Linked DNA regions of Arabidopsis thaliana. The protein of the gene in region 4 interacts with the protein of the main gene of each other region in a pairwise test. Each region holds a gene or a part of one and is shown on either strand. Other genes may lie near its edges.

Region 1 (7,440 bases), on a different chromosome or scaffold from region 4:
TTACGGTAACATCTCCTTTTCATAAGATTTATAATTCTAACCATAAAATTAGGAGATAGCAGATAGAATGTAGTGTCAGTGACATTGATCAAAGCCAATGTAGTCCATTAGTAGGAGTAGACTAGTAGTAATAGTTGTGGTCCTGAAACTCAAAATAGAGACTTAAGTCCAATGAGACAGGTCTGCATTTATTATGTATCAGCCAAGAAAAGTATAATCCACACGTTCCTCTCATATCATTTAAGGCACATCACATTGATTTGGATAAAAATGGACCCGTTAAAGCGATCTGTTTTCGTGTTTTCGATTCGAAAATGTGATAAGATATTGTCTCTGCATCATCATCAGCAATAATATTAATGATGGAAGATTTCTTGACACCAAGATTTGTTGTGTGATCTTTTTTTTCTGAAATCTCATAAAGAGTTATAATTGTATATGATTCTTCATCATATTAATATCACTTATGGTATATAATTTGTTTCGGCTTTTGTCAGGTCAATTAAAGTTTTTTTTGTTCGAATGTTGAAGCCTTGAGGAGTGGATGATGGAGACATTTCATTGCTCCTTTTAACACAAAGGAAACAAATAACAGGTTGGTCCAACTTCTCTTCCTATGTCTGTTTCCGGTTCGGTTTCGATTGATTTTAACGGTTGAATTTCCGGTTTACAGGTGTATAAAGGATTGTAATTTTGTCTTGGTTAATAGAATTTCGCATATCAAACCGGTTCTTTCATTTATCATGTCAGGAGTAGGAGTTAAAAGTAAATTTTACAGTGTAGGTAATAATTAATTTGTAATCACAATTTAATTCAGTTTGATTCTACTCATAAGGTAACAACAGTTTAATAAAACTTGTTTTTGTGCAGGATTATTAAACTGACAGATGGAAGGTTTTTTTTAGTTCTTCATCAGTCTTTTTAGGGATAGTTTTTGATAATATTATTATTGTAAATTGAAGTGTGTTCCCGAGACAATGATAGTGTAATGCTTGTTGTATAAGTAAGATTTAGCCGTTTAATAAGTGTAACAAAAATACTATACAGCAAAAGCAATTATTTCATTCATTATGATAGTTTTCTTACAAAGGAAAAGTGAAAAGAATAAAAAGATAACGTCTTGTGATGATCTTTGTACTGAAAAAGTTAGGGCTTCTTGATAACCTCGAAGCTCACTCATTCTCTGATTCTATGTATTGGAATACAGAAATTCAATGATTAGTTTTATTTTTTCTGCAATCTCATAAAGAGTTATAATTGTAAGCAATTAGTCAAAATATCAACATTCAAATACCTTTGCATTATTTTTTGTAGCACTGCGTGCAAAAGGTTTAATAATTTTCAATCATTAGTTTGAGTATATAAGCTGTAATTTAATCAGATGAAATTTGTATATTATGTTTTGAAATATTAAAGGTAAGAGAGAGAATAGTGTAAAGATGTGAATGTAGAATGAAATGATTGAAAAAGAGTATGAAAGTGCAGAGAGTGTATTGTGTAATCTCATGCTTTTCTCTTTTTCCTATTTGCTCATGCTTTCTCTTGTTTCAGCTTTCGTGATTACAACAACACTTCTAAATTCCCTTTTTTTTTGGGTTATTTATTTTAAACCCAAATTAAAAATAAAATAAAAACATTCTTGTACAATGTGAAGTGAGACAATGATCAGCTCTATTTTTTTTTTCATGAAAACCCCTATTTTTACCTAACATTAACAAATAAATAAAAATGGAATGGAATATGTGGTCCAGAACAAGAAGTGTATATCGAAATGATTTACTTAAATACCTTTAACTATTACTCCAATCCTATTAAAATTAAAGTCCATCAGCTATGATTTACAGGAGTGGACATTCTGATATTTTATCTAATTCGATAAATGTTGCGGTTCATTCCAAATTTGTACCTATTTAAAGGTAAAATATCTATATAGTCTTATCGAATTTTGGAGCTAAGATTATTTTTAATTCCTAAAAACATATGTTTAGTGAGCTAGTTAGTAAATGAATCTAATTTTTTTGTTGGTTAACAGAAAATATCACATACTTACATAGTGATTTCAAATACTAATAAATTGTTTCATACTATATGCGTATATCCTATATGGACTGACTGGTCAGACATATTGAACGGAGTGGAGTCTTTATTCACATAACCTAAAAATAACTTTTTTTGATATGCATGTGTATCTATAGGCCAAATATATTTTAGTTCTACCACAGAAGTTAAAATAAATTGTATTAGTAATATATTTAGTCCTTTGAAAGTGGGAAACGAAATTAGCCTCACACAAGCACAGTGATGATTGATTTCTTCTTCTTTTTTTTACCCAAAAAAATCCATTTTTTCTTGTAATTTCTTATTTCCAGATTATTTTCTTCATAACAAAAAAAAAAGAAAAGAAATTGCTCACTTCACTTCTCACTAGATTCTTTATAACGAAACCTCCACTACACGGGCCCTAAATTTGGGCCACATGGGCTTCTCTCTTAACGAATTACGCACGAGTAAACTTCATTTTTCCAACAAGAAGAAGAAACTCAGGGGAATCTAAAGATTGTTTACTTTAATTTAAGAAATATGGAGAAATCATAATAAATTAATTACGTACTACTTATAGTAAATTTGTTGAATTACATAAATTCATAATTCAAATTTTACAAATACTTTTAATATCCTGTGTTATTTTAACAAAGCTGGTCTGGCTCTTAAGTTCTCATCCCAAGGACCATGGGATGTTTTGCTTTTTTTTTCTTTTGCTTGTTGGATGAGTATGTGAACCTTTTTATGGATACAGGACGAATCCCATTGTTTTATTTACATTCTACATTATTCGTTTATACGCTTCTATTAACCTTTGATTTTTAAAACTCTTCTCTACCTATCAATTTGTAATCGGATGATCCCTCTAACCTCACTTCTGTCTCATGCACTGACTTTAATTGTTTCGTAATTTACAATGTAGGATTTATAGATTTTTTTGGCAAATGAAAAACAGAGTGTTTACATCATGTATTACGTATATGAATCATACACTAAATCCAACATATATATGTAGAATTGCTAATTAATCTTTTTGTTGATTAATTACTTCAAAGTATCAGTAGACAAGAAACTAAACATAACAGTGTCTCTTACACTTCCCTTGATACATATAAACTTCCTCATCACACCTTCTCTAGTAAACCCAACTTTTTCAAGAACCCTTTGAGATCCAACATTGTCCACATCAACAAGTGCCTCAAGCCTTTCAATCTCTGGAAATTCCTCGAATACCTCCGCGGTCACTAGCCTCACTGCTTCCGTGGCAAACCCTTTTCCCCAATACTTTCTCGCTAGGACATAACCAATCTCTTTTCTGATGTTATCAACCGCCATGATCAAGATGTAGCCGATTGGACGGTCGTCTTCTAAGCAGATGGCTCGGAGCCAAGGGTGTGTCAGGACACGATCGGTTATGTATTTGATAGCTTCGTCTCGGCTCGTGCAAGGCTCCCAAGTGCAAAATCGAGCCACTTTAGGATCTGTGGCCCAAACCATGTAGTCATCGACGTCGGAAAGAGTCATCGGCCGGAGAGATATTCTTCCCGGAGGCGAAGAGCTCATTATTGGATTAGTTTCTTCTGAGTCCATCTCCATTTAGGATTAGTGATTGTTTTAGATATCATATCACTACGTCTAAGCGATGTCTTTATACACATCGCGATCTTGAAAAACTTTGAGATTCTCCCTTATTGCTTTTGACTAAAAAAACACTAAATATTACCATTTGCTATAGATAAGTGTATTTAGTGTTAAATATACGACATAAGATGAGGTGTCATCGTGTGAGTGGATAATTGTCTATATTTGACCTTGGACTTTCGACACTTACTTGGTTGCCAAACAAAGTATTGTTCTGGTTTCGGAACTTAATGTGTTGCTTCCAGTTGGATGCCCACAATGCCACGTGTCAAATCGTGTGTGGTCTGATTCCCAAAAAGGATTTAACTGTTTCTCAAGTTATTCTAAATGGATTAAATATTTTAATACTGTTAATATTTGTGGTGCAAATGATCGTAATCGTTTGTTATATACTGTCAAAATCAACTCAAGAATCAAGTCACTCAACATGTTGTATGATTAAGTAATTTAGCTAAAGATTAATTAATCGAATGTTATCAGAATTCCATTCATCTATCGCTGTAAAACTAGCTATCACACTATCTTTTTATTGTATAAAATATTTCATGTTTAGATTCAAAAAGAAAATATATATATATATATCATGTTTCATTTTGTACTTTTAATTTTCAATATAAACTTACATTTTTTCTGAGATAGTGAAGCTTTGTTTTATTTGGTGAAGTGAACATGGTAAATAGTAAATACATTACTCTCAAATTATAAAAAATAACTTTTGTATGAAATAGTTAATATATAAGGTTACAACTAACAATTACATAAGAAGAAGAAAGATAGAGCATCACATCAAATTATACATGTGATTTTTACAAACTAAGCAAAATATAAATTTCGACATCAAACAAACTTAATATATATATTTGATATTTGTTAATTCAAATCAGATCAGTGCAACGAATCAGAAGGCAAGAAACTAAACATGACCATATCTCTAACATTTCCTTTAAGATACATAAATTTCCTCATCACACCTTCTTTCACAAACCCAACTTTTTCAAGAACCTTTTGAGATCCAACATTGTCAACGTCAACAAGTGCCTCAAGCCTCTGCATCTCTGGCTTCTCCTTGAATATCTCCCCCGCCACAAGCCTCACCGCTTCAGTGGCGATCCCTTTCCCCCAATACTTGCTTCCGAGGACATAACCAATCTCTCCTCTGATCTCATCGACTGGCGTTACGGAGATCGAGCCAATCGGACGGTCGTTATCTAAGCATATAGCTCTAAGCCAAGGGTGTGGCAAAAGAGCGTCGTTTAAGTACGCGATCGCGGCTTCTCGGCTAGTGTAAGGCTCCCACGTGCAAAAGCGTGTGACGTTTGAGTCAGTGGCCCAAACCATGAAATCGTCGACGTCGGAAAGAGTCATTGGCCGGAGATGGATTTTCTCCGGAGGTGAGGAACTCACGGTGGATAGGGTCTCCGGTTTGATCGTAGTAGTTGAGTCCATCTCCATTGACTTTTTCTTGGTTACTTTCCTTTTTGAGTCTTTGAAGCTTCTTTGGGATTCTTTAAAATAAATTATCTCTCTCAATTCTTACAGATTTGTGTAGAGGCATTATGATAATACTTCTTCTACAAATCACGATTTAAATACTGATTTTTTTTTAACAAAAAAGAAAATAAACAGAACGTTCCTTCTTGCTTCGATCGGTCAAATACGCAACAATTAGTTCTTGTTGAATGGAAGGTGTGAAAAAGACGGTTTATAATGGGTATGGGTGAACCGTATATTTACCATCCATTCATCGTTTTTGATTTAAAAGAGGTATATTCAATCTAGTATTTAAAGTGACTTTCGTAAATTTTACAAGTATATGTTATTTAATTATGGATTTTGAAAATTCTAATGAAATCTAGTGTTATTAAAATAATAATTTAAAAATCTACCTTTAAATTCACTGTTATTAAAAATAATTTATGGATTTGATTTTTATAAGAATGTATTCAATCTAATATTTTAAGTGATTTGTGTAAAATTTATAAATTCTATGTTGTTCGATTATGGATTTGAAAAACTTTAATGAAATCTAGTATTATTGAACTAAAGATTTAAAATTCTATCTTAAAATCTATTGTTATTGAAAATAATTGGTAGATTTGATTCTTATTAATTTTGAAGGATTTGAGAAAGTTCTTTAGTTAAAAATAACAAAATCGAAATTCATGGTCTTATATAGAATTTTAAAATATTTTATAATAAATCACATCAATTTTCCTAAAATCATCAAACTCATATAAAAACTAGCTAAAACTCAAATTGTAAGGTCCAAATTAATGAGTCAACTCAACTCAACTCAACTCAATCCATGAACCCTAATGAGTTGAAAATTTTGACTCAAATGAGTTGATGAGTCAAATGAGTTGATGAGTCAATTGGTTTGATGAGTAAAATGAGTTGGGTTGTAATGGTTAATGGTTTCAATGGTTTATCCAATTAACCCATCAAATTTTGTAAAATTGAATTAAACCAACTAAAATCTCTAAACCAATGCCAATTTAAGTCTAACCAACACATCTAAACCAATTTAATAAAATTAATATTTTTCCAAATTTCTTAAATATACAAGCGATGAAATTGAGAAAAAGTAAACCCGTAATTTTTCCGCCAAAAACGTAAATCCGTGATTTTCCCGCCAAAAACGTAAATCCATGATTTTCCCGCCAAAAACGTAAACCCGAGATTTTCCCGCCAAAAACGTAAACCCGTAAAAAGTGGAATCCGTAAATATATTAAGTTTTGATGATAATGAATTAATAATGATAATTATTTATTATTATTTTATAATAATAATTAATTAAATTATTACTTAAATGGGTTAACCCATTTAACAACTCAACCCATTAAATTAAATGAGTTATGGGTTGACTTAACCCATTTAACAAAATGAGTTGGATCAACCCATAACTCATTTAACCCTAAACTCATTTGATTATGAGTTGAGTTGAGTTGTGTTACCCATTTTGACACACTTAGATCTAATACACCTCTTTATTAATTTTAAAGGATTTGAGAAAATTTAAAAAGATTTATTTAGTTACATATATAAAAATTCAAATCTCATATTTTTACTGGAATTTGATTTTTTTTTTTTACAATAAATCACATAAAAAGACATTAAAACTCAAAATTATTTAAAATATAAGGTTCAATACATATTTTGTCAATAAAAATTTAATAAGCTGCTAATATAGTTCATGAGAAAAATCAAAAATTAATTTATCAATCGAAAAAAAAGACGAAGAAAAATTAATTTATCTACGTAGCGCAAGAGACGGAGTGTTGTTTATTTAAAGAAAAGAAAGAAAAAAAAAAGAACGAATATTAAAATGGCGAGTCGCTCTCTTTTCTCTATCTCAATCTCACCTTCTCAATTTACAGTTTTGCCATCCATCAACAACGAGAGACGACGCCTTGCTATCGCCGCTCGATCTCACCGACTATCACGCCGGAAGATTCGTAAGAGACCTCCTGATAGAGATATGTCCTCCATAGTTTCAATCCCGGAGCTTCCTCGCCGGCGGGATTCTGAGGAAAGCCTGCTTTTAGATTCTCGAATCAGTAAGTTCTTAAAGCAACAGAATCCTCAGAAATTGGCATTTGGGATTAGGTTTTGCAAGTATCGAAGCTCCATTAACTGAATCCTCAGAAATGTGTGTATATGAATAGGTGTAGCTGAAGGAGATACATCGAATACAGATGTAGAAGGAGACAGAGATACTACTTCTAGTATTAGAACACAGCCTCCCCCTCGTAAAG
Region 2 (8,021 bases), 5.8 Mb from region 4:
ACTAAACCTAAGCATGGACATACGGTGACCCGCCGGCCGACCAAGCTTCCTGAACTTCGTCATTTCTGCGTCGGAGAAGTGATCTCTGAACAGAGAGAAGAACCCTAAAGGAGGAGGAGAGACTGTAACTCTGTGAAGCGCCTACTGGGTTTGGGCTTTGGGCCCATATATATCCTCTCTTTTTTTTGGACAAAAGGGCCCATATATCCTACAAACCGGTTTTTGACTAATTCTGTTCTAAACTAAAATTTGGAATCTGCCTCAAAAAAAGTTCCAACAGATTTTGGTTGCTGAATATAACTAAGAGAAAGCAAATTAATGTCTCACGGAAACACGAAACAAATAAAAATTGGTCCCAAACATATGAAAGCTACAGACGAGTAGGAAAGTTCACATAACCAAACTAACACCATTAAACATAAAAGTAGTTTACTTCAGTTGCTTGTTATCCAAGGCACCTTCACATCCATCAGCATCATTCATCAGTGAGTTATTCTCTCTTATGGCTTTGAGACAACTAGAAGCAGCTCGAGTGGTGTGATGAGGGTGAATTTGCAAGTGTCCCCAAAAACAACAGGATACTCCTTGCACAAACGTTTCCATCCACCAGAGAAAATTTGACCCCTCTCTTTTACCACAAAAACAACCTTCCATGTCTTCTCCCCATCTGGATGATGGATCTTGACCCTTGTTTTCTCCTTCGGCATATAATTTCCAAAAGGTTTCGGGATCGCCTGAAAAACCAAACCAATTTTGTTCGTCAATCATTAACATATCAAGTTTGACACAAAAGCCAATATCAGAAACTGTGTGTTAGTGCTCTTATCATACCAGGGATTTGATGTATGATTTCGAGATAAAGATTTTGAATCCTGCAACAGAAGAGGAAGGTTCGCCTGCATAAACTCTCTCCTTACTAACCACTCTCTCCGTCCTCTTGGAATTTTGGGTCCTCTCAGTCCTCTTGTAAGTTTGGGTTTCCTCAGCTTTCTTCTTCCCAAAGTTGAGCTTCCTTTTGTAGCTGCCTCCTCTATTAGTTTCAGCTGCTGTTGTCGGGCCACGAGACCTCGAGTCAGAAGACACCAACACCTCTTCCTCCCTCTTGACATCTTGTTCTGTTTTGACACGACCTGTTTCATCATCAAAAGTATGAAGAATCAATGTCTTTAATCCGGTTCACTGTTTCATAATCAGAGAATCAAAATCTTACTAGAAGAAGCGAAAGAGGCTCTGGATTGCGGAGGTTGCATCATCTCCTTGCCATCTTTGTTGAAGATTTTCACAGTGAAGCTCATCTGTCCTTTGTGAGTGAAGGTAAGAAACTCGTGGTCTCCCAAGGCATTGTCTATCACGAACTTCTCCCATCCAGACTTCTCCATGAAGTAGAATCTCGGGTTCTTGGAGATTTTTACTTTCCAAGAGTTTCCCCATTGCACTCTGAACTTCATGTCTCCGGAGAGCTCATTGTCAGAGAAGTTTATCACAAAGTCGTACGGAATCGCTCGCTGTGGTTATATAAAAGAAAGATGAAAAGATATAAGTAAGATACATGTCTGATATTAATATAAAACAGTGAAAAATCAGTGAGCTTTTACACATCCCATCAAGAATCTGAGTACAAAGTTTCAAATCTAACCATGAAATCAGTGAGCTATAACACACAAATGACAAACACAACAAGACGGTGAAAATGAACAGAACAGATCTCATCCACAAGAAATAAAGTACACATCTTCACATTCAGACAGAGAACTGAGAACTAAGAGAAGCACAAAACCATGAAAAAAGTTCCTCAGAAAAGAAAAACAAAAGCTTTTTCTAGACCCATAAAGACAGTTAACGACAAGATTCAAACCTTTAAGAAACCGAAAGTTTAACCTTTCTAGACTAAGCTAATTCAACAACATAAAGAGTTTAGAACATAGTTTACCGTGTCCTCTGAAGACATGTCGGAACGCTTAAGAACTTTGAAGAAGCTTTCCTGCTTCCTCTCTTCTTTGCACCAAAGAAAATCAGGGTTACTTGCCATCTCTCTCCTTTGAAATGTTCTGATTCAAGCTCTCACCTACAAGTTTTGCTCCTTCAACTTGCTCGTCTCTCTCACTCTCTATCTCCTCTCGTAATATTTTTCTCTCTGTCTTGTTGAGCCGTTGAATATGTAGCAAAGCACCACTTAAAATTTCAAAGATATGATTCAATCAAAGTGGTCAAAGTGAAAAAAGCTTTCCTCTCAATACTGAAACTGTAGTACAATTGTGACTTCATCCTTTTTGGATGTGTTCATTTAATTCATAGCATGCGATTATTATGCATAACAGATGAATCTCTTTTGGCGTTAATACATTTCGGTGACTGGAAATAAGAAGTACGACACTAGGCAAGTACTGTAATTATACTTTTCTGTTTAGGTAATGACTGTATTGGATTAGTTCTTCATTTTGATAAATTTATGAAGAAGAGTATAAAAGAAATTATAACTTATTTGGCAACCACTTAAGGTGGTGAAGTTGTCTCCAAGAACATATAAGAAAAAGGTTAGGATTTCATTTGATATCAAACAAAAGTTCAGCAATTGACATTTGCCACATCTTAATCTCTGTAATGTCATTCCAAATCCAATTATTCTACCGCTAACTTCATAATTAAAGGCCATATATTCAGCAGCCCTACATTTATAATTGACCTGTAATATGGCAACAAAAAGAACATCTGATCTAGAGACTCTGTAGAACTGTTAGAATTGAAAGATCAGAGGAAGTGATGAGTAGGATACTCATGTTCATAACCATTGTAGTCATAATAGAGCCTTTCCCCTTTCGATATATCGCGTGTAGCCACTAGAAGAACTCGACATTCGCCGTTTATGCTATACCTCACGCATTTGCAGTTCTGCTTCTTCTTAGCAACCCTGCAACAATCAGTGTGATGTGATGATTCAATGTTATAAACCAGTTTAGTGGGGGGAAAACAATTTTGAATTTGTTGCTTACGGATTGTGATTGTTAATGCCATTAATGAAGCGAGATATGTTTCCAAACTTGTCTGGACAGATAACAAGAGTCTTTGAAGGATCTTCTGATAAAAGGAGAGTCATGATGCTGTCACAATCGTCTTTTTCTCGGTTTTTCAAGTAATCAACATCCCCTGTATATTCAGCTATGAATGTTAAGTCCTTAATAGGACCATCTGCTTCAACTGTGTAACTGTACAAACGGAATAACCAAAGAACATGTTTACAACTCCACTTTGTCATTATGGGAAGGTTGATCGAAGGAATAGAGAGAGATACCCTTCAAGCGGATCAAATACCACAACGAGAGGAGGGCATTCTCCTCGTCTATACATAGATTGACATTGTTCCAATGTCTCTAAATCTTCTTTGCATAGCACCTGCGAAAAGTAAAAACCGAGATAAACAATCAAGGAAGTAACTTAAAATAAGAGAGTTATGGATAAATGGCTGAAAGATTGTTTTTGTTTATTACCTGCATCCCACCTTTCTCTAACTTGGATTGATTTGCAGACCGAGGAGCCATTCCGGGAACATAATTTAAACCATCGCTGTATTTGATACCCAATGCCGTTAATGCAGAAGCAAGTGTTCCCATTTGTGCAAGCCTCTGATCAGGATCTTCTGATGGAACCAAAGGTAAGAGTTTTCTCCTTCTTTTCTTCACTGTCAAAGAGCAAGATCGTCTCCGCTTTCTAGTTTCTTCTTCAAAACAAAGAAATCTCAATCTCAAACACTTGTTATTAGTTTAATCCTGAAGCATCTATGATCTATGTATATGATATGTATAAGTTCTCATCAATGCTTATTAACCCTACATAAGGTGCAACAAAATTTCAAGCATATAATAGGCCAAAGTTAAGCTATTTCATATTCATCTAACTATTTAATCAAGTGAAACATCTCGTCAGATTCATCAACTCAAGAACTTTATGATCATATCATGAAATCCAAAAACAAAAATCGCACCTTGACTCAATTCCAATTTGTCTGTTTGATGAGTATGCTTCTCAATCCGAAAGAAATGTAAAATCTTCTTCTGAGATAACCCTAAACATTTCACCGGACAAGAGAAAAATCCATTTTTTTATTAAACAAAGAACACAAGAAAATTAGGAAATTTAAAAGCGAAGAAACAAAAAATCCATACTTCTTACAGGTCGTTGGTCGGAACAATCGACACAAAGCCAAGTTCCAATGGGGACACGAACAACAATGGGTCTAAGGCATTTCATGTGAAAGCCTCTATCGCATTTGTCACAGAGAAGAAGCTCATCGTCTCCTTCTCCAGAACCACATTTCTCGCAGGTGACGTTACTGTAGCTGTCTTCGTCTTCTTCTTCTTCTTGTTCAACCACAGGGACAGATTTCGCCATTATCTCAGCCATTGATTTCATCTTCCTCGGTGGTGGAGATTCGGAGGAAGGGCGTCTCGCTGGAGCTTTCGTTCGTCGCCTCGATGAGCAAGGAGACGCCGCAGGGGAGGATGCGTTCCATGTGGCCATGACGGAAGCTCACGACGAAGAGTCGCCGGAGAACGGGATATATGATTTTGATTGGTTGGGGCTAATGTGCACCGCCGCGTGTGCGCACGAAAACTGATGTGCGCATCACCTGGAGTGTAATTTGGGATTCTTCCTTTGAGACTCTTCTTTATCGGCTCTTTTGTTTTTTTGACCTTTGACAAATTCAAAATTACTGGTATGTCTTAAAAGGTTTAAACATTGTAAGTGATACTAATAAATTTACAACCATTAAAGCCTTTTAATTGTTACTAAATTTCTTAACTAAATTTTACTTATTTAATTTACTAGGGATTGATATAAAAATTAATACAGTATTAACTATACTATACAAACGTAATTACAAAAATAGATATCTTTCAATTGAAAAAAAATATATGTTGGTGGGCTCAATACAAACACAGTAAACGTCAATTTCGTCAACTGAGCCACCCCAACGCCAAGCCCAACAGTCGGTCCGCCTCATTGGAGGCTCAAGTTCTTTATTTGACAAGCTAAACCAAAGTGTTCTGGTTTGACCAACAATGTAATATTACATAAATCTGAATCTATAAAATACAAAATTTAATAAATTATGTCTTATGGTTTAACATAATTTTCTGTTTCCGATTTAAGAATTTTTCGCCATATTGATTTTCATAATTTTATATACATATATAATATCTTTCAATTGTAAATTTTTATCTTATAATTTTATATATGAATAGTTTTCTCTATTTTTTTCAAGGTTTTTAATTAATAAGAAATTGCGGTGTTAGCGTTAATGAAATAGTTATGGTATAGACTATAAAGAATAATATACATAATTGGAACAAGTGAAATGGTTGTTTGATATATTCTTGACGATGAGAGCAAAACTTTCTTATCATATTTTCTGAACCGGGGTGTATGCTAGGTAATTTTGTGGCTAAGTCCTTTATTAAGGTTGTTGCACTTCTTCACAAGGATGAAAACTTAAGTCTTGCATCGGTGGATGCTTCAAGATATTCATATATGCTCGCCATGTAAGTTTTGCTTATACTAATACTGTTTAAGTCATAGTATTCCAAAAAAATCAAAGAAATAAGACTATTACTGGTCCATCACAATGGATTCCCTTCGAGAAGCCCGCATCGATCTTTCTATGCCTTATGAGTTTTGTCCCTATGAATATGAGGAATATGAAAAACATTCTTGACCTTGCTTCTACTACCGTTAAAGTATGATGTCTCTCTCTTCTCCATGTATCTTGTTACATTCATGCTTGACCAATTTGTTTGTGTTTCATTCATGACCAGTTTGCTTGTGTGTTGTAGATGATGCGTCATTGCTTCGATTATTGGCGTAGTAATGAATTTCCCTTGTTTAAAAACCTTGTTAAACTATCGTTTGAGTCTAAGACGAAAAAAGGTTGGAAAGTTCTTTGGACTCTGATAAAAAGCTCTCCCAATCTAGAAACTTTGATCCTCAAGGTTTGTATGTATAATATGATCTCTTTTTCTCTTTCTCAATTATAAATTTAATCTCGGAGTTTCACTTACTGTGTGTTCTTTTCTTTTCTATCCGTTGTTTCAGGGTTTTCAGTGTGTAAGTACTTGTGGGTATAGCATTGATGGAAATACGTTGAAGGTGTTGGAGTTATACGGGTGTAGAGGGAATCTTAGAGAAGTCGAACAAGTGAGGCTGTTCTGTCGGAAAGTGAATTTCTTCAAGTAATGAAAGTGGAAATTGGTACTAAGGTTGATGTTGACAAGAAATTGCAACTCACCAAAGACCTCCTTCCTTATCCTAACGTTCCTCCAAATGCCAAATCCACTTCTTGTAATCTTTTAAATCCAATTTTGTTTTTGACTGCTCAATCAATCAAGATTCAGTTTGTTTTAGATACAAAGACAACATCTCCCTTGATAGAGCATATTGATAGCTTTACTTTTAATACGATTTTGCCAAGTCCAAACATAAAATTCTGGTTTAGAGTATCAACATTGCAATGATACTAGTACTAAAGAACATTGCAATTTATTCTCAAAGTTCTAATGGCATTGGCCGTGATAACAATTCCATTCACCTTCCAAAAAATCTCTTTCCTTACAACTTGAATTTTTTTTACCAACAAGTAATAATCCCTAAAGAAGTTAATACGGAGGGGGGATAATCAAAACGGCATAATATGTGTCGTTTTGGTTTCGTATACCGAAAGGCAAGATCTTGAGTTCACCTTGAACACCTTAAGAAGATCCGTTAGCATATGCCTAACGGTAAGCGAGCAATTACTCTGTAAAAGTAACAGTATCTTCGTAACGCCGTTAATTCTAATAACGGCATCTTGCGCCTTCTTTTCCTTGAAAAGATAACAGACGCTCCACAAAACCGTAACGGCGTGTTCAGTCGCCGCCGTCGACACTTTCATCAGCTTATTCACCACCGTCTCCACGCACACACCATCACAAATCTCCGATCGACCTTCTTTACAAGACGAAATAGCTTCGAGAAGCTTTAAGCATTTTTCCGTCACTGAAACGCTCGTAGTTGGATCTGTTAACAAACTCGTGAGTTTCGTGACTAGCTTTTCTCTGATTAATGCGAGTTTCACGCGTTTTGAAGACGCAATCGCGATTAATAAAGATAAATTCGCTTCGATTAAGCTTGAGTCGGAATCTGAGCTTATCAATTTAATAATCTCGGTGACCAATCCTTCTCCCTTGGCGATTATAAGCTTTGACTCTGCGTCGACGGCGATAAACTCAAGCACGGCGGAGCAATCGATCTTCAATTTTGGATTCCCGCGTTTAATCAATAGGAAGAAGGAAGTCAAGCAATCACCACCGTTCGTTAAGATCAGATTCGATAACCGTCTCCGATCGAAGATTTTCCGACGAATCATGCTCAGAATCTTCACCGCTTCTCCAACGAGTAGCAATTGAGAATCAGAGAAGTTTCTGGAATCGCTAATGAGATCCACAAGCATCGCTACGAAATCATCTTTCCCGGCGAGAAACTCTCTGTTCTCATCAGATTCTCTCGCGAACCGGAGAATCTTCGAACGAGCATCATTCTCGATCCGGAATCTCTCAATCGCAGCGTTAATTTCGTCTCGCGTCGGAGTATCGGATTCCGGAGACTCAGAATCGGCTCGACGGTTGATGGAGTCGGACCAGTGATCAATGAGACGGTGAAGAGTTAGGTTAGGTACGAATTCTTTGTTCTGAAGAATCTGCATCGTCGCGGGACAAGTATTGTTACCATCATCGAGCCAACGTTGGATGCTAACTCGGTCGTATGTAACGCCGGTGGAGAGACTCACCGGAGATTTCATCACATCAAGTGAAATTGGACATTTGAAGAAACAAGGGACGGTGGTGATGTAAAGATCATCGCTCCTCATGTTTTTGCTCTTTCTTCTTCGGCGAAAACGTTTCAAAGAGAGAATAAATAACAAAATCACTGAGAGAGAAAGAGACGTGACTCGTGTGGTTAGGTTTTAAGAAGATGATGAGTCATGAGAGAGA
Region 3 (7,468 bases), on a different chromosome or scaffold from region 4:
TAAGTAAATTGTTAGCTGCACACTGGGATAAAGCAATCAGGAGTAACGTGATTGTGTAGATTCCCTATAGGTAAATGAACCTTATCATTTTCCCTCGCATTTTTTTCGGATCTCATGTGCACGACGATGCCATTTAATTTTTTGACCACTTTTAAATCCGTCAATAAATGTTACATGACTGGGATTCCAATGATGTGTATTTAAAGCGTGACCACAAGGTACAGATGAGAAAGCTTTAGGAAAAAAAAAATCAAATACAGAAGAGAAACAAAAAAATGGAAGCAGCAAGAATGGGTTTTCGAGCTAAAACTCTCCCTCACCTTGGCAACGGTACTCGACTTCCTCTTAAGACCAAACTCTCGCTCTTTCCTATGCATTTGCTTCAAAACCACACTACTCTTTCCCGGAGATCAACAAAACTCAACTTATGTGTCAAGGCTTGTAGTAAGACTAGTGGTGTTGAGAGTAGTCGTCCCTTGCCTCACAGTGCTCCCGATCTTTGGGGAGATCACATCCTCTCTGTCCCCACCGAAAACTCGGTAAGTACCTGATCTGATGAATGTGTTTCATAATCAGTCGTTATTGTAGAACATTATTCTGAGCACTGATATTTTGTAGGAATTTGATACACTAGAGACAGAGATTGAATCAATAAAGCCGAAAGTGAGAAACATGCTAATGTCGTCTCACAAGACTGACAAAGAGAGAATATGTCTCATACACTTGCTTATTTGCCTTGGTACTTTCCATTACTTTGAGAAGGAAATTGAAGAGATTCTAGAACAGGCTTTTCGGAAGTTGGACATGCTATTTACAGACGAAGATGATTTGGAGACAACTGCCATCATGTTTGAGGTTTTCAGATTATATGGACACAAGATTTCTTGTGGTAAGACATGCAGTTCCCATTATTACCATTTTTCAATGGGATGCATATTTTATACCATTACATATGTATTTAGCTATATACATATATAACATATATATATATATATCCTGGTGTCAATTTAGATGTGTTCGATAGATTCAAAGGTGTTGATGCCAAGTTCAAGGAACATCTAGTCAGTGATGTTCGGGGAATGCTACAGCTGTACGAAGCAGCGCATCTCGCAACACCCTTCGAAACTATATTGGACGAAGCCTTGAGTTTCACAAGGTATCACTTGGAATCTTTGGCCGGCCAACAAGCTACAGCTCCTCATATCTCAAGACATATACTTAACGCATTGTATAAACCTCGGTTTCTTAAGATGGAAATAATAGCTGCCCGGGAATATATTCATTTCTATCAAAAAGAAGGTCATGATGAGACATTGCTCAAGTTTGCGAAGCTCAACTTCAACTTTTGCCAGCTACATTACGTTAGAGAGCTAAAAACTCTCACCAAGTATGTTGGCCTACTTTTATTCATATTTCCCGGTGAATTTCTTATATGTACATCCTTTAGTACTTTACCAAAACTCATGAGATTCCGACTAAAAACAGAGAGATAACAAGTAGATAGATTTATATATCTTATACATTAATTTAGATCTCATCTTACTTTAGGCTTGACCTGTAGGATTGCCCATCTCGAATTAAATCCCTCTTTTAGATTTTTTTTTTTTTATCAGGCAACATACTCATGTCGGGTCAATTGGAATAACATCTGTTATCATATAATTTTTAGTGAGCTTTCAATTCAAAACCTGTAGGTAATATGTTGATTGGTATGTGTCTTTTATATTATATTTTAATATAATCTTAGATGTAAGATTCTTATAATATTTTCTATTTAATGTTTTTGTGGTTGAAGATGGTGGAAAGACATTGATCTTCCATATAAGCTACCTTACATCAGAGACAGGCTTCTAGAGACCTTTATCGGTGTCATGGCGGTGTATCTCGAGCCACACTATTCACTTGGGAGAATTATAGCCACTAAAGTTTCCCAAGTGATAGTAGTTATGGATGACACCTGTGATGCATATGGAACTTTCTCTGAAGTTAGAAGTCTTATTGATTCTTTGGAAAGGTAGTTTACTAAGTATGAATCATGTGGTCTTATAATGACGTCATTTTTTAACGAGCACATGCATGGGAAAATCCTTAGGTGGGATCCTGGTGCCATTGACAAACTACCGAGCTGTTTAAGAATCGTCATCCAAAGTATAGTTGAAACAATGGAAGATATTGAAAGAGAAATGAAGCCGCGAGGAAGATCCTCGAGTGTGCAAGACACCGTAGAAGAGGTACACCAACAATTTTAGGGTTTAGTTTTAATCAATGTCCATATAAATTAATGTTTGTGTTTAATATTGAGAATTTTGCAGATTAAGATCATGGGGAGAGCGTACGCTGAAATATCAAAATGGGCACGAGCAGGTCACGTTCCAACCTTTGATGACTATATTGAGCTTGGGCTTGACTCGTCAGGGATTAGATGCTTTGCAATGTACAGCTTTATATCGATGGAAGATTGTGAGGAGAATCAAACGAACGCGTGGTTCAAATCCAAACCCAAAATGTTACGAGCTTTAAGTGTTATATTTCGTCTTACAAACGACATAGCCGGCTTCGAGGAGGAGATGAGGAGAGGAGAAGTGGTTAATGGGGTGAACTGTTACGTTAAGCAACATAATGTTACCAAGGAATTGGCGGTTCGAGAAATTAAGAAGATGATTAGAGATAATTACAAGATAATGATGGAAGAGTTCTTGACGATAAAAAGTGTGTCACGTCCGATTCTGGTCCGGTGCTTCAACATTGTACGATTGGTCAATCTGTATTACGAGGAGGGTGATAATTTCACCAATCCCAATGGCAAGCTCAAAGATCTCATCACATCTTTGTTCTTCCATCCTCTTCCGCTTTGAAGACTTGGCTCCTTGCCGAAAAATTCATCTACATTTCTCTTTCCATTATTATTGATGATTGTTAATTTGCTCTATGCACATATTTTTCCATTAAATTTTAATTCCTGGGGTTTCAATTAGTTTTTACTATTTTAATTTATTTTGCATAGAAGTTTTTTTTATAACTTTCACTACCCACAACGACAAGGAAAGTTGACCAAAAGAATGAAATAATATCATAATTCATGTTTATATACGTTATACTATTCAATTCTTAATTCATGTTTATATACGTTAAACTATTCAATTCTTAATTATGTTTCTTTGCAAATAATATTAAATTACACACATGAGTTCTTGAACCAAGGAACGTATAAGTTCAAAAAATAGACTGGAAAGCAAAACTTTGTTATACTTGTTGAGTTCTTATGTAGGATCCAAATCTTGTAGATAAGCAACAATATATAATGGGCGGTGAGATTAAGACTGAAAGTATTTTTTTGACCACCGGATGGACCGTACGGATTTCCACAATTCGATACGGTGTGGTTGTTAGTGCCTTAGTGGCGGTGGTGACCATTATGCAGCCATTTAACTATTTAGGGTTGGAATTTGGCTCATGAGGTTTTACTACACATCAAGAAATTATTTGGAGACAGAGCATCGATCTTCTGCTGGTCGGGTTTTAGAATTTCATAAAATCAAATTTTGGTTAATTTAGATGGGTTTCTTTCCCCAATTCTTCGTTATGAACAATTCATTATTTTGGTCAACTTAATTGTCTATGACTCTATGGGCAGTTACATAATGTTACTATCATATTTGCTGTCAAGACTCTTGAGATATGGCATATATGGACTTTTGTACGAGAACCTAAAGTTCTAACCAACACATGATATAAAGGACTAATTGCTTTTCTTTTCATTTGGTCTTACAACAACAAAACACAATATACTACTTTGACTTAAAATAATTGATCTTTTATATGAAACACTAATTTATCTCAGTATGAACTATGAAATCTATTTCCTAGTTGAAAAGTTTAAATATTTTGAACTTTTTGATCAAGTTAAATATCTATAATCTAACTAAGGCCCAGAATATACCAAATATGAAATATATTTATCAAGGCCATGTCAATTTTCTTGGAAGGCATGTACAAAGTTTTTACTGAAAACATATTTGATGTGTAAAAAAATATTTCTAAAAAAATTTAGAACCCAAATCATATAAATATCAAACTTGTCTTCAATCAAAAAAATAATATTCAATCAGCGTTTTCTTTCAAATACACACAACACACTATTTGTACACGCTTAAAGACAGCTTTGCTAATGTACAATATCCATGTAAGTAATAGAGACCCATGCATGCATGACAGCATATTTCCACTTCACAAGTAACTACGTAGGAAGCTCACTTCACCTGAAACCAAACAAGCCATCCACAAATTCTATTCCCTCATTTATTGTCTTCTTTATTTCTCTATATATACAATTTCACTTAACCACTGACTCTATAACTCAAAACTTCTAAACTAATTCGCACAGTTCTATATACACTCACAAACACACACACACACAATATAGTGCTACTAAAATAACCTTGTATTAATTATGGAAAACACTTACGTTGGCCAACGAGATTACCGCTTCAACGTTAACCAGTTGTCCTACAGAGGCATTCGTCGGAGGAAATGGGGCAAATGGGTATCGGAGATCCGAGAACCCGGTAAGAAAACAAGGATTTGGCTTGGAAGCTACGAGACGGCCGAGATGGCTGCAGCGGCCTACGATGCTGCGGCTCTTCACCTCCGAGGACGTGGGACCAATCTCAACTTTCCGGAACTCGTCGACAGTTTTCCTCGGCCGGAAAGCTCTAGTTCGGAGCACATTCAAGCGGCTGCACAAGATGCAGCACTTATGTTTAAACCAGGTAGGTTGAGTGAACCAGCTCTCGAGTCTGGTCAAGGACTTTCTCGAGTAGGATTGTCTCCGGATCAGATTCAAGCGATTAATGAGTCTCCATTAGACTCGCCGAGGATGGGGTGGATGCAGGATTTGGAAGTTGCTGACTACGAAGAATTATACGGACAATTTTTTGGTCAGCACGATAGGGATGAGTTTTTTGAAATGCAGCAATTTCAGTCCATATGGAATTCTAATAATTGATATACGTTCGCTTAATTGCTTAACCATTTGATTTTTTTTTTAATAATGTCATATCATCAACCAAGGTTTTTCGATTATATTCAGTAAAGTATAATAAATTTTCGACCCTTACTGTTTTTCTTGGGTTCAATTTGTAATCTCTTAACAATGATGATGTCATAAATACCAATATGATTAATTCAAATTTTCAATATATATGTAATGTTTTGGTTCCTTGTCAGTCAGATAGTATCATATGGTTTATACGAGAAATAAATATAAACCAAGGAAAAAACTCAATCCAAGAAAAAAAAATGTTATCTTATAAAAACTTAGAAAAAAGGGTGGTTACCTTGTGCTTCGTCTTCGGTTTTCGTTGTGGTATTCGTTAAATTGGAATAAGACTAACTCCGAAAAATAGGTAAGATTATAGACCAAAAACCTGAAACTCCTATGGTTTATTAAAAACAAAATTATTTGATGAAAGTCCATTATGTAGACACATATAACCCATAATATATACACACGAGCTGACGTGCACGTACCAATTCGTACTATGGCCGCCTCAAAAGTACAGGTTTATTCCATATTATAGTGAGCATGAGTCCGTTGAAAAGCTTTGATTACCTAAAGATATACTATAATCAGTATCAATAACAACTGTTGCAGTCAATATTATATTAGTATGAAATGTTTTAATTGTCCCATACGTTCAGTTTTCTGTTAGGCCTAATTGCGTGAAATTATAAATTAAAGTTTTAATTAGATCATAATGTAAAAGCATGAATTTGACTCTTTAGACACGTTTAAAAAAGCAAATTTCGAGACTCCAGTAAGTGATGATGACTAGAAAATTCTTTTATTAAATATAAATTAGAATAATCGCAATAGCGTTGGTATGGTACACTCCGTGTGGGGACAGAAGAGACGATTCCAATATGCCGTCAGAATCTCCTGTGGACCTACTATACATTGACATTTCAGCTTCAGCAAACACTTTCTTATCCTTAATATTATCTTCAAAAGTTTTGATATGATTTTTTGTTAACCGGCTAAATAAATACTTTAAAGAACTTCCTTATATTAATTGATACGATGATGATCAATCTTTTTTCATTTTTTTGTGGGTACAATGATGATTAATTCTTAGTATCAAAATGTGATGGATATGGTGATATAAGTGTGATTCTATTCTATAATCCACTATATGTAGGTTATTAATGAAACATTGTTTGAAGAATTACTGTACAAGTTCTCGTAGATCATTTGAGATCGTGGTCAACTTCATTTTTTACAATGCCTTACAACTTTCAGACAGGGCCGGCCCTGAAAATTAATGGGCCATAGCAATTTGATAATTAGTCTTTGTTTCGCTGTCAGAGGTTTATGACCATCGAAAACAATGATAGGTTGAAATGTGTAAGTGTAACGTCATGTTTGTTTGTAGTGAATTTAACATGAATTAAAGCTTGAGAGACTCATTTCTGAATATATACGGAGAGGTAGATTTTTGAATATATACAAAATCTGAACTAAAAATTACGGATAAAATACGATTAAGGAAAAGATGAATACGGAGAGGTGGAAGTTGATTTCTTTCTTTAATTCAATAGTTTTTTTTGTCTCTCATTATGGCAGTTCTTATGAGATTTTGAATCCTACGATACCATAATCACGACACTCAAATTTATGAACTGGTATCAGTATCTCTGTCATACCCTGGAGACTTAGTTTATATACAACGAGGATGTTGATAAATAACAATTGATGCAATGCAATGAGCCTATTGAAATTTTGCTGGCAAATTAAAAAATAATTTGATAATTTACCACATGTTGTAATGCAGAAAATAGGTCTCTCCATGCCATGTGTAAGCTTTTAAGTAAAAAATTTGACAATAAAAAAAAATACAATAAATTTGTGAATTGGAGAAGGGCGTTGGTCTCTGATTGGTTGATGAGATATTTTAGATATTTATCTCACCGTTATGAGTTCAAACTTAATTATTTTATACCAAAATTCATCATATCTACATATATATTTTTGCAGCTATTTTGTGAAATAAATCCTATAATTGGAACTTATTTACAATACGTACCACTGGATTTTAATGTTTGTTTTTGATAATTAGAAAAAAAATCTTCAAATTAAATATTTGACATTTAACAATCTTCCCTAAATCTCTCCACATTAACTACACGATTAGTTACTAAAATAAAACTTCCAAAATATTTAATATCATTTAATTACTACAAAATAAATGGTTTTTTTACGGGACGGATTGGTGGGACGGGTTTGACAGGACGTTACTTAATAACAATTGTAAACTATAAAATAAAAATATTTTATAGATAGATACAATTTGCAAACTTTATGTATACTAACTTTAGAAAATAAATTGTTTCCGCGGTGTACCGCGGGTTAAAATCTAGTTGTTTTCTTTATAAATAGAAACTTGAATCATTTGATTATGACACCAAAACC
Region 4 (8,105 bases):
ATTATTACCTCATCCGCACTTACATAAGTAGTAATCAAAAATCTCAACTAATACGATGGCGACCGAAATGTTTTTAGAAAGTTAATTTATCTACTTACATATGATCAATAATGCAAGAGTAATTAATTCCTCGCATATGAATGGAGATCAAATAGATAGTGTTTGTAGGTTCCGTGTTCGCGTATCGAAATAAAAAAATCAATTCCTAAATTTCTAGATTGTAGTTTGGGTCTTTCTCAATTTTATTGTAAATCAACTTTGTACCTCACTCTAACTATGAATTACTTATAAAATATTTCTATCAATCCTTTTCAATCTCACTAAAACCATCCAAACAAACCTACGTGGAATCAAAGTTCATATAGTATGAACATGAAGAACACTAGAAGGTCCAAAGATTCAGCCTAGATCAATGTTAGCTAGAGTCTTTTTTGTTTGTTTGTTAATTTGTTGATTGTTAGCTAATTTTATATCCCCATGAAATGAAAGATTAGACATAAAAAACCCACAACATACTTTCACACATACTAAAAAGCAAAGTGTTTGATATGCCATGTAATTCCCCAAAATAACATATCCTTAACCTTAATATATAAAACAGTGGTAACTAAAATTGGTTAACGAAAAAAAAAACAAAAATTGGTTAAGGATTGTTTTTTATTTTTTGTAAGTTGAGGGTTATTTTGAAACATATTGGCTAGTTTGAGGGTTTTCTTGCTAATTAATAAAGAAAAACGACAAAAAACAAAAAACATGGTTCTAACAATAAACCGAACAAGCGTGGTATGGTTCTATTACTAAACAGAACAATATAAAAAAACGGTTTAATTTACCCAAACGAATAAGAACAATAACCAAAAACTCCCAAATTAATTTTGCTTAAGCAGCAGCAGAAGAAGAAGCATGGCGGAACAAGAATTACAGAGAATCAATGAGAAGAAGCCATGGCAAGTTCTCGAGTTCTACAGTGGAATCGGTGGAATGGTAACAGTCTCCTTCACCTCCAATTCTATGTTTTTAGTGAAGTCTACTCTGTCTCATAAACCCTAATTCCTTTTTGCTCTTAGAGATACTCTTTAATGGCGTCAGGCATCGTCTCAGAAGTAGTAGAAGCTTTTGAGATCAATGATTCTGCTAATGATGTTTATCAACATAATTTCAAACATCGTCCCTATCAGGTTGCTTAATGCTTATATATGATATAATCAATAGAAGCATTGTTACATTTGCAAATCATAGATGATGCTAGTTCTGTGACTTAGTCCATGATTAGTTCTTATTGTTTTGGTTGTTTTTCATAGGGGAATATTCAGAGTCTCACTGCTGCTGATTTAGATAAGTATAATGCAGATGCTTGGCTTCTTTCTCCTCCTTGTCAACCTTATACTAGACAAGGTGATTCATTTCACTGTTGTTTTCTTTACTATCAACATGACTTGCTTTTGGATACTAACAGTTTTTTTTTGGTTAGGCCTTCAGAAACACTCTGGTGATGCTCGGGCTTTTTCGTTTCTCAGGATTCTTGAGCTTATACCGCATACAACAAAGCCTCCACAAATGTTATTTGTAGAGAATGTTGTTGGATTTGAGGTATAGTGTTTGCTTATGCTTCCCAGCTAGAGTACTTGTTCTCGATCATCTTCTTTGAAGTCGTGACATTTTTGCTTATTGGTGGTGTTTGTTGGTGCAGACTTCGGATACACATATGGAAATGATTGGTACATTAACAAAATTAGATTATGTCACACAAGAGTTTATATTGAGTCCGCTGCAGTTTGGTGTGCCGTATTCAAGACCACGTTATTTCTGCCTGGTACTTTCTCTTTACCTTATGATTGCGTAGTGCATATCTGTGTACCTAAAACTGTTAATTTTAGTAGTCTGAGAATGTATAAGTATATGCTGATTATGAAACTTTCTCATGTAGTGTGCACTTTCTCATGTATATGCGTTAATCTTTTTGTTTTAGTTAAAACGTCACTAACTTTGAAATCATTTGATTTACCTGGTGTCTTTGTAGGCCAAAAGAAAACCTCTGCCATTTAAGTCCCAACACAGTAATAACAAACTACTCTGGTCTCCAGACCCGTTATATGGGCGTGATGATCAGGTTGAGTTTGGAAAATGTCAAGCAGAAGAAGGATTGGATAAATTACTTGAGTTTTGCAAACCAGTAGAGAAGTTTCTCGAGTTAGCTGCACATGTTGATGGCGAGCCAAGTAGTGTTGATGACTCTGAAAATGGGTCCAAAGATTGTTGTGGACAAGAAGGCGATTCTGTCCCAGACTCTGTACATCAGTATCTAGTACCAGTTAGTTTGATAGAGAGATGGGGAAACGCAATGGACATTGTTTACCCTGATTCAAAGAGATGTTGTTGTTTCACAAAGAGTTATTATCGATACGTGAAGGGCACAGGTTCCCTATTGGCAACTGTCCAGGTACGTTCTTCCATGGAGTATACAATATTACTTTCCTCTGTATTTGCAAAGTGAAAAGAAATGCTTATCGTGAATCTGTGATCACGCAGCCAAAAATCAAGGGTAAGGAATCTTGTTTGAAGGAGCAACGGCTTAGATACTTCACCCCTAGAGAGGTTAAGCACTGTCCTTTACTTTTACTACTAATGCCTCACTGAAAAAGTCAGCTTTATTTCATTGAAAGATGATGTTCGGTTTCTATTTGTTTAGGTAGCTAACTTTCACTCATTCCCTGAAGATTTTGAGTTCCCCAAGCACATAAGCCTTCGACAAAGGTACGCTGTTCATACCGTCAACACCATCTAAGCCAGAAAAAGCTACTGTCTATATAGATTATGTGCATCCAAGTATAACAGAGGCACCGTTTTGATTCGAATATAGAATTTAACCCATAATACCCTTATTTCTCCCGTACTTCCTGTTTGAAATGTGGAAATAGTTGAACACAAGAACATGAATCTCATGAACTCCTCTTTGTGCAGATACGCAATGCTTGGAAACAGTTTAAGTGTAGCAGTGGTGGCTCCTCTGCTTCGGTATCTATTCGATTCTTGACTACACAATTTGATGCACTAAGTGACGCGACCAATTACCGGAATCAGTTATTCTCCTGAACAAGCTTCTACTACTTTTTTGTTTACTGATAAAGTTCAAACTGATGAACTTACGTTTTGTTATCGATCCTTAACTTTATGGGCCAGTATTTTAAATGGGCCTTATTCGGCCCGTTAATCATAATTTCTTACCCAAATTTCCGTAAAAAGTGACCATAATATTGGCATGAGACATGAGTCTTTTGACTGTCTCTCTCTCTCTCTCAGTCACTTTAAATTATTTGAGCAGCCGCAGCGAGAGGAAGTTTTCTTCAACTGCGACGGAGCGTGAAGTTCACGCTCCGGCGGTACTACCTAAGGTTTGTCGTTAGGGACGTTACTTTTACGTTATTACTTGCTTCTTCGCCACTTTTCTTCATTTTTTCCGACCAGAGATATTTTGTTCCTCCTTGTACGTACAAAGTGTTTGTTCTTTTTTTACTTTTCCAATTTTTTGGCTCTAATTTTATGAACAAATGCAAGTAGGTCATCATACAAACCCTAATTTTGCAGAACTGATCCAGCTTTGAAAAGAAAAATGTTGCCTAAGAATGCTATTGAGAAGATCCAAGCAAATGTGAGCAAGCCTTGCTTCTGGAAGTCTCTCTCTCCAGGACAAACTTGGAAATCTAAATCCATGGTAACTTCAATTATGACTCACTCCTCCTTTGATATTTACTCACTGTTCTTAGACTCTTTCTATTGAATTTGCTTTGTTACAAGTTTATAGCTTTGGATGTTGTTGCTAGAACAGTAAGATGTGATAATCCTTTCATGTTTAGTTTAGCCCTTTTATAGACAAGTTATTACAGAACTACCCGTTTGTTGTTGTTTGAAAAAGTTCAGATCTTTTCTTCTTTTAAGAAACTTTGGAGACATTCTAATGGCACAATGCCTCCTCTGCTTCTTGCTGCTTGGTCTTCATTTTGTTACTTATTGACCTGTTTTAGCTACCGTTATGGGTACTTTTACGTCGCAGGTTTCGTTTGCCCTTAGCTCATGTTTATGCTAGTGTTGGTTCTAGTCCTTTTCTCTGCATTTCTTGACCTACAATCCAATCTTTTAAGCTCGTGTTTTTGCTGCTTGTGTTTTTTCTGTAGAAAGTTATAACTTTTAGTCTCATGTTTCCTCTTTTGAATGTAAGTATTGTTTTGTTGATTTCTGGGTTTATTAAGAGGATAATTCCGGAAGACTTTGTGAGAAGAACGCGTGGTGCTTTTGAGCACAGAGTGGTGTTTAGTGTTCGTTGGGAAAACTCCTGGCAACTCTGGCTGGAGCGAGAGAAGAACGAGCTGTTTATGATAGAAGAAGATTGGAATGAGTTTGTAGACGACAATCATTTAGGTCCAAATGATAATCTGTTCATCAAACACGATGAGACGATGAATCTTGAAGTGCAAATCTTTAAGAATAATGGGGTTGAGATCATTGATGTACCTCTTGGAGTTGAACCCGAAACTGAACCATTTCATCCTACGCCCAAGAAACCTCACAAGGAGACAACCCCTGCCTCTTCCTTTGCCTCTGGCTCTGGCTGCTCTGGTAAGGCTATTCAGATCGATAGAATCATCAAACTCCAAACTATCATTTGTTCTCTATGCCAATGTTTGATTGGATTCTGTTTTGGTGGAATTCTCAGCAAATGGAGGGACAAATGGCCGAGGAAAACAACGTTCTAGTGATGTCAAAAACCCTGAGCGATACCTCTTGAATCCTGAAAACCCTTACTTTGTGCAAGCGGTGACAAAAAGGAACGACGTTCTGGTAATAATACAAGTGTTTACATTGTCAGCTTTTTATTCCATTTGTGGCCTAGAAAGCTAAAGCTTGTCTTTGTTTCCTGCTGTATGTGCAAGTATGTGAGCCGACCGGTGGTTCAGAGCTATCGCTTGAAGTTTGGTCCCGTTAAGTCCACCATTACCTATCTTCTTCCCGGGGAGAAAAAAGAGGAAGGCGAGAATAGAATCTATAACGGGAAACCTTGTTTCAGTGGCTGGTCGGTTCTATGTCGGAGGCACAATCTGAATATCGGAGACTCCGTGGTTTGTGAACTTGAACGCTCCGGTGGTGTGGTTACCGCTGTAAGAGTGCATTTCGTCAAGAAAGACTAGACCAATCCTCTCTAGTAACAACAATATGTTATTTACAACTTTCTGTAACAATGCTAAATGTGTCAATTATGTGTTAGTTTAACAAACTTGTCAATTCACTTGCAATCGAATCGATTCTAGAGTATGATGGGCCAGTTTCTAATATGGGCCATATCCGGCCCAATAATATTGTTTGACCATTTTATTATTTCCATACACAGTACACATTTGACACTTGTCACAGTGCTGTTGACTGTTGAGTCTCCTCTCTTTCTGAAAGCAGAGAGATTCGATTTGGAGAACAAGGGCTGAGAAGAGCAGACACAGCAGCGAGAGGAAGCTTCTTCGACTGCGACGGTGCGTGAATTTCATGCTCCGGCGACGTTACTTTTGACGCAATTACTTGCCTTTTACGCATTTACTTTGTTCTGACTTCTGACCTAAGTTTTTTTCCCCTTTGACCGTACAAATTTTGCTTCTTTCTTCGTTTTTCTCTGTGTCTCTCATTAGTCACCATTTTCGTGTTCTCTGCTTTGTAACACTTTCGGGTTTAGCTACTGAAAGTAAGAAAAGCGAGATAACGCATTAAAGGTTTAATTTTTATCCAGTTTTACTGTTTCACTGATTTCATTACATGCAAGTCATCTTCGTCTTTGTTTATGAACCCTAATTTTGCCGAATCCATCCAGCTTTTGAAGAGAACAAGATGTTGCCTAGGAATGCTACTGATAAGATACAAGGAAATGTGAGCAAGCCTTGCTTTTGGAAGTCTCTGTCTCCAGGACAAAACTGGAAATCTAAATCCATGGTAAAACAAAATTAGTCTCTCTTCTTTTCTAATCTTTCGAAAATGTAGCTCCTTTGATTTTGTACTCACTGTTATTTCCATTGAACTTCTTTGTTTGCTCTAAAGATCTATTGTTCGTTTGTTGTTCTTGTTCGAAAAAGCTTTTGATCTTTCAAGAAACATTTGAGGAGATTTTAATGGCACAATGATTCCTGCTTCTTGTTCTGCTTGACAAGCTCGTGTTCTGCTGATTGTATTTTAGCTTTTAGTCTCATGTTTCCTTCTTCTAATGTCAGTATCGTTTGTTGTTGTCAACTGTTATGATTTCTGTCTTTATGAAGAGGAGTTTTCCGGAAGAGTTTGTGAAAAGCACGCCCGGGGCTTTTGAGCACAGAGTTGTGTTCAGTGTTCGTTGGGGCAATTCTTGGCAACTCTGGCTGGAGCGAGAAGAAAAAGATCTGTTTATGATAGAAGAAGATTGGGATGAGTTTGTGGATGACAACCATTTAGGCCCAAATGATAACGTGTTCTTCAGACACGATGACAAGATGTTTCTTGAAGTGCAAATCTTTAAGAATGATGGGAACGAGATCATCGATGCACCTCCTGAAGTTGAACCTGAAACTGAACCATTTCATCCTACTACACCAAAAAATTCTCACAAGGAGACAACCACTGCCTCTGCCTCTGCTTCTGCTTCTGGTATGGCTATATTCAGAATGAAAGAATCGTTTTGATGCTCTTCATACTCAATACTACTCTTTTCTTTTCTCTCAATGCCAAAGTTTGCTTCTTTTTGTTTCTGTTTTGGCAGAATTTTCAGACAATTGGCGAGAGACACATGGTTGTGCTGATATCAAAAACCCTGAGCTGTACCTTCTAAACCCCAAAAACCCTTACTTTGTGAAAACGCTGACAAAAGGGAATGACGTTTTGGTAATAAGAGCAGTGTTTTCATCAGTTTTGATTCTAGTTTACGTTTGTTGCCTCTAAATCTAAGACTTATCTTTCTCTCTATTTCTCATGTACAATGTGCAACTAGTATGTGCCCAAAACAGTGATTAAGAAGTATGGCTTGAAGTTTGGTCCCCATTTGTCCCCCATGCATTACCTTCTTCCCGGAGATAAAATAAATGGCTCCACTAAGATCTATGGCGGTGGCAGTGCCCCTTGTTTCAATGGCTGGGTGGACCTATGTCGAAAGTACAATCTGAAAACCGGAGACTCTATGGTTTGTGAACTTGAACGCTCTGGAGAACTGGTTACTGCTGTTAGAGTGCACTTCATCAATAAAACATGAGATGAGTCCTCTCTAGTCTCTTTTCTTTAACATTCGTGTTTACCAAACTTACTATTGTAATGTTTATATGTGACCCTTATGTTGCTTTAACAAAACTTAAATGCTAAATTTCTTATGCTTCTGTTACTTCATTGGAAATGCTCGATTGTGATTCAGTCTTATATGCTCGTGAGAAGTAAAATATGCATACAACTTTATTGTAAGTTTTGTAACTCTTCCATAAAAATTAAAAGGCCTAGATACATAAGATATAGGCAACGTTTCTTTTGCCTTCTCATACAAGAAAATACAATATAAGCAAAGGCCCATCTGCCTATATAAAACCCTAACTCTCGTAAATAAAACTCTGTTTTTTTCACCTTCTCGTTTCAATAAAATCCAACACACACCAAAGACAGTTTAAGGAAAATAAAAGAAGACCACACGATGCATTTTCTTGTAATAGGATTGGTGATTCATCTATGGTTTACGAACGCTTATAAGCTTGACATCATCGATCACAGGCCCACACAATGACGAGAAATCATCGCTCCTCATGGCATAGAAAGTGCTGTAGAACATAATTCTTGATCGGGTCGAAACCGCCACAAATCGAATAGAAGCTCGTTTAAACCCTCCTGTGCCTTTCGACTCGTAAGGGACCTTAAGTGTATCTTTTCCTGCAAAAGCCTCAACCACCATTGATCCTTTGCAAGCATTGTTGGCGTCTCCAACCGCAAAAGACAGCACGTAAGTCTTCCCAATGACAGTCCGAACCACTTGAGCGATGGCACTCTCTTTACCCGCTACAAGCTCAATAGCTCTGCGACCCTGTGGGACTGAGAAATGTTCAACGTCTACGTACTTGACAGCTTTG

Evidence for each region.
Region 1: the proteins of AT5G25475 (region 4) and AT2G32020 interact in a two-hybrid assay, tested with the Arabidopsis thaliana proteins (one large-scale study listed by BioGRID).
Region 2: the proteins of AT5G25475 (region 4) and AT5G09780 interact in a two-hybrid assay, tested with the Arabidopsis thaliana proteins (one large-scale study listed by BioGRID).
Region 3: the proteins of AT5G25475 (region 4) and AT1G33760 interact in a two-hybrid assay, tested with the Arabidopsis thaliana proteins (one large-scale study listed by BioGRID).

The regions. Positions count from the first base shown.
Region 1 is NC_003071.7:13,628,106-13,635,545, forward strand, and holds AT2G32020 (Acyl-CoA N-acyltransferases (NAT) superfamily protein), read right to left. Parts: upstream 3,825-7,440; 5' UTR 3,640-3,824; coding exon 3,088-3,639; 3' UTR 2,875-3,087; downstream 1-2,874. Other genes in the region: AT2G32030 (Acyl-CoA N-acyltransferases (NAT) superfamily protein), read right to left, coding at 4,570-5,136; AT2G32040 (Major facilitator superfamily protein), read left to right, coding at 7,011-7,242, 7,351-7,440.
Region 2 is NC_003076.8:3,036,456-3,044,476, forward strand, and holds AT5G09780 (Transcriptional factor B3 family protein), read right to left. Parts: upstream 2,160-8,021; 5' UTR 2,030-2,159; coding exon 1,931-2,029; intron 1,506-1,930; coding exon 1,211-1,505; intron 1,131-1,210; coding exon 832-1,130; intron 735-831; coding exon 501-734; downstream 1-500. Other genes in the region: AT5G09770 (Ribosomal protein L17 family protein), read right to left, coding at 8-63; ATXR5 (TRITHORAX-RELATED PROTEIN 5), read right to left, coding at 2,749-2,908, 2,991-3,203, 3,290-3,390, 3,486-3,715, 3,980-4,060, 4,161-4,515; AT5G09800 (ARM repeat superfamily protein), read right to left, coding at 6,668-7,897.
Region 3 is NC_003070.9:12,233,494-12,240,961, forward strand, and holds AT1G33760 (Integrase-type DNA-binding superfamily protein), read left to right. Parts: upstream 1-4,053; 5' UTR 4,054-4,450; coding exon 4,451-5,005; 3' UTR 5,006-5,217; downstream 5,218-7,468. Other genes in the region: AT1G33750 (Terpenoid cyclases/Protein prenyltransferases superfamily protein), read left to right, coding at 276-539, 619-889, 1,012-1,387, 1,796-2,014, 2,093-2,231, 2,313-2,855.
Region 4 is NC_003076.8:8,864,998-8,873,102, reverse strand, and holds AT5G25475 (AP2/B3-like transcriptional factor family protein), read left to right. Parts: upstream 1-3,281; 5' UTR 3,282-3,392; exon of another isoform or gene 3,393-3,585; 5' UTR 3,586-3,610; coding exon 3,611-3,712; intron 3,713-4,022; coding exon 4,023-4,073; intron 4,074-4,172; coding exon 4,173-4,614; intron 4,615-4,711; coding exon 4,712-4,836; intron 4,837-4,928; coding exon 4,929-5,183; 3' UTR 5,184-5,306; downstream 5,307-8,105. Other genes in the region: DNMT2 (DNA methyltransferase-2), read left to right, coding at 904-984, 1,068-1,178, 1,302-1,395, 1,472-1,590, 1,691-1,813, 2,021-2,440, 2,530-2,595, 2,690-2,754 and 1 more; AT5G25470 (AP2/B3-like transcriptional factor family protein), read left to right, coding at 5,869-5,970, 6,291-6,651, 6,764-6,885, 6,992-7,249; DGR2 (transmembrane protein, putative (Protein of unknown function, DUF642)), read right to left, coding at 7,709-8,105.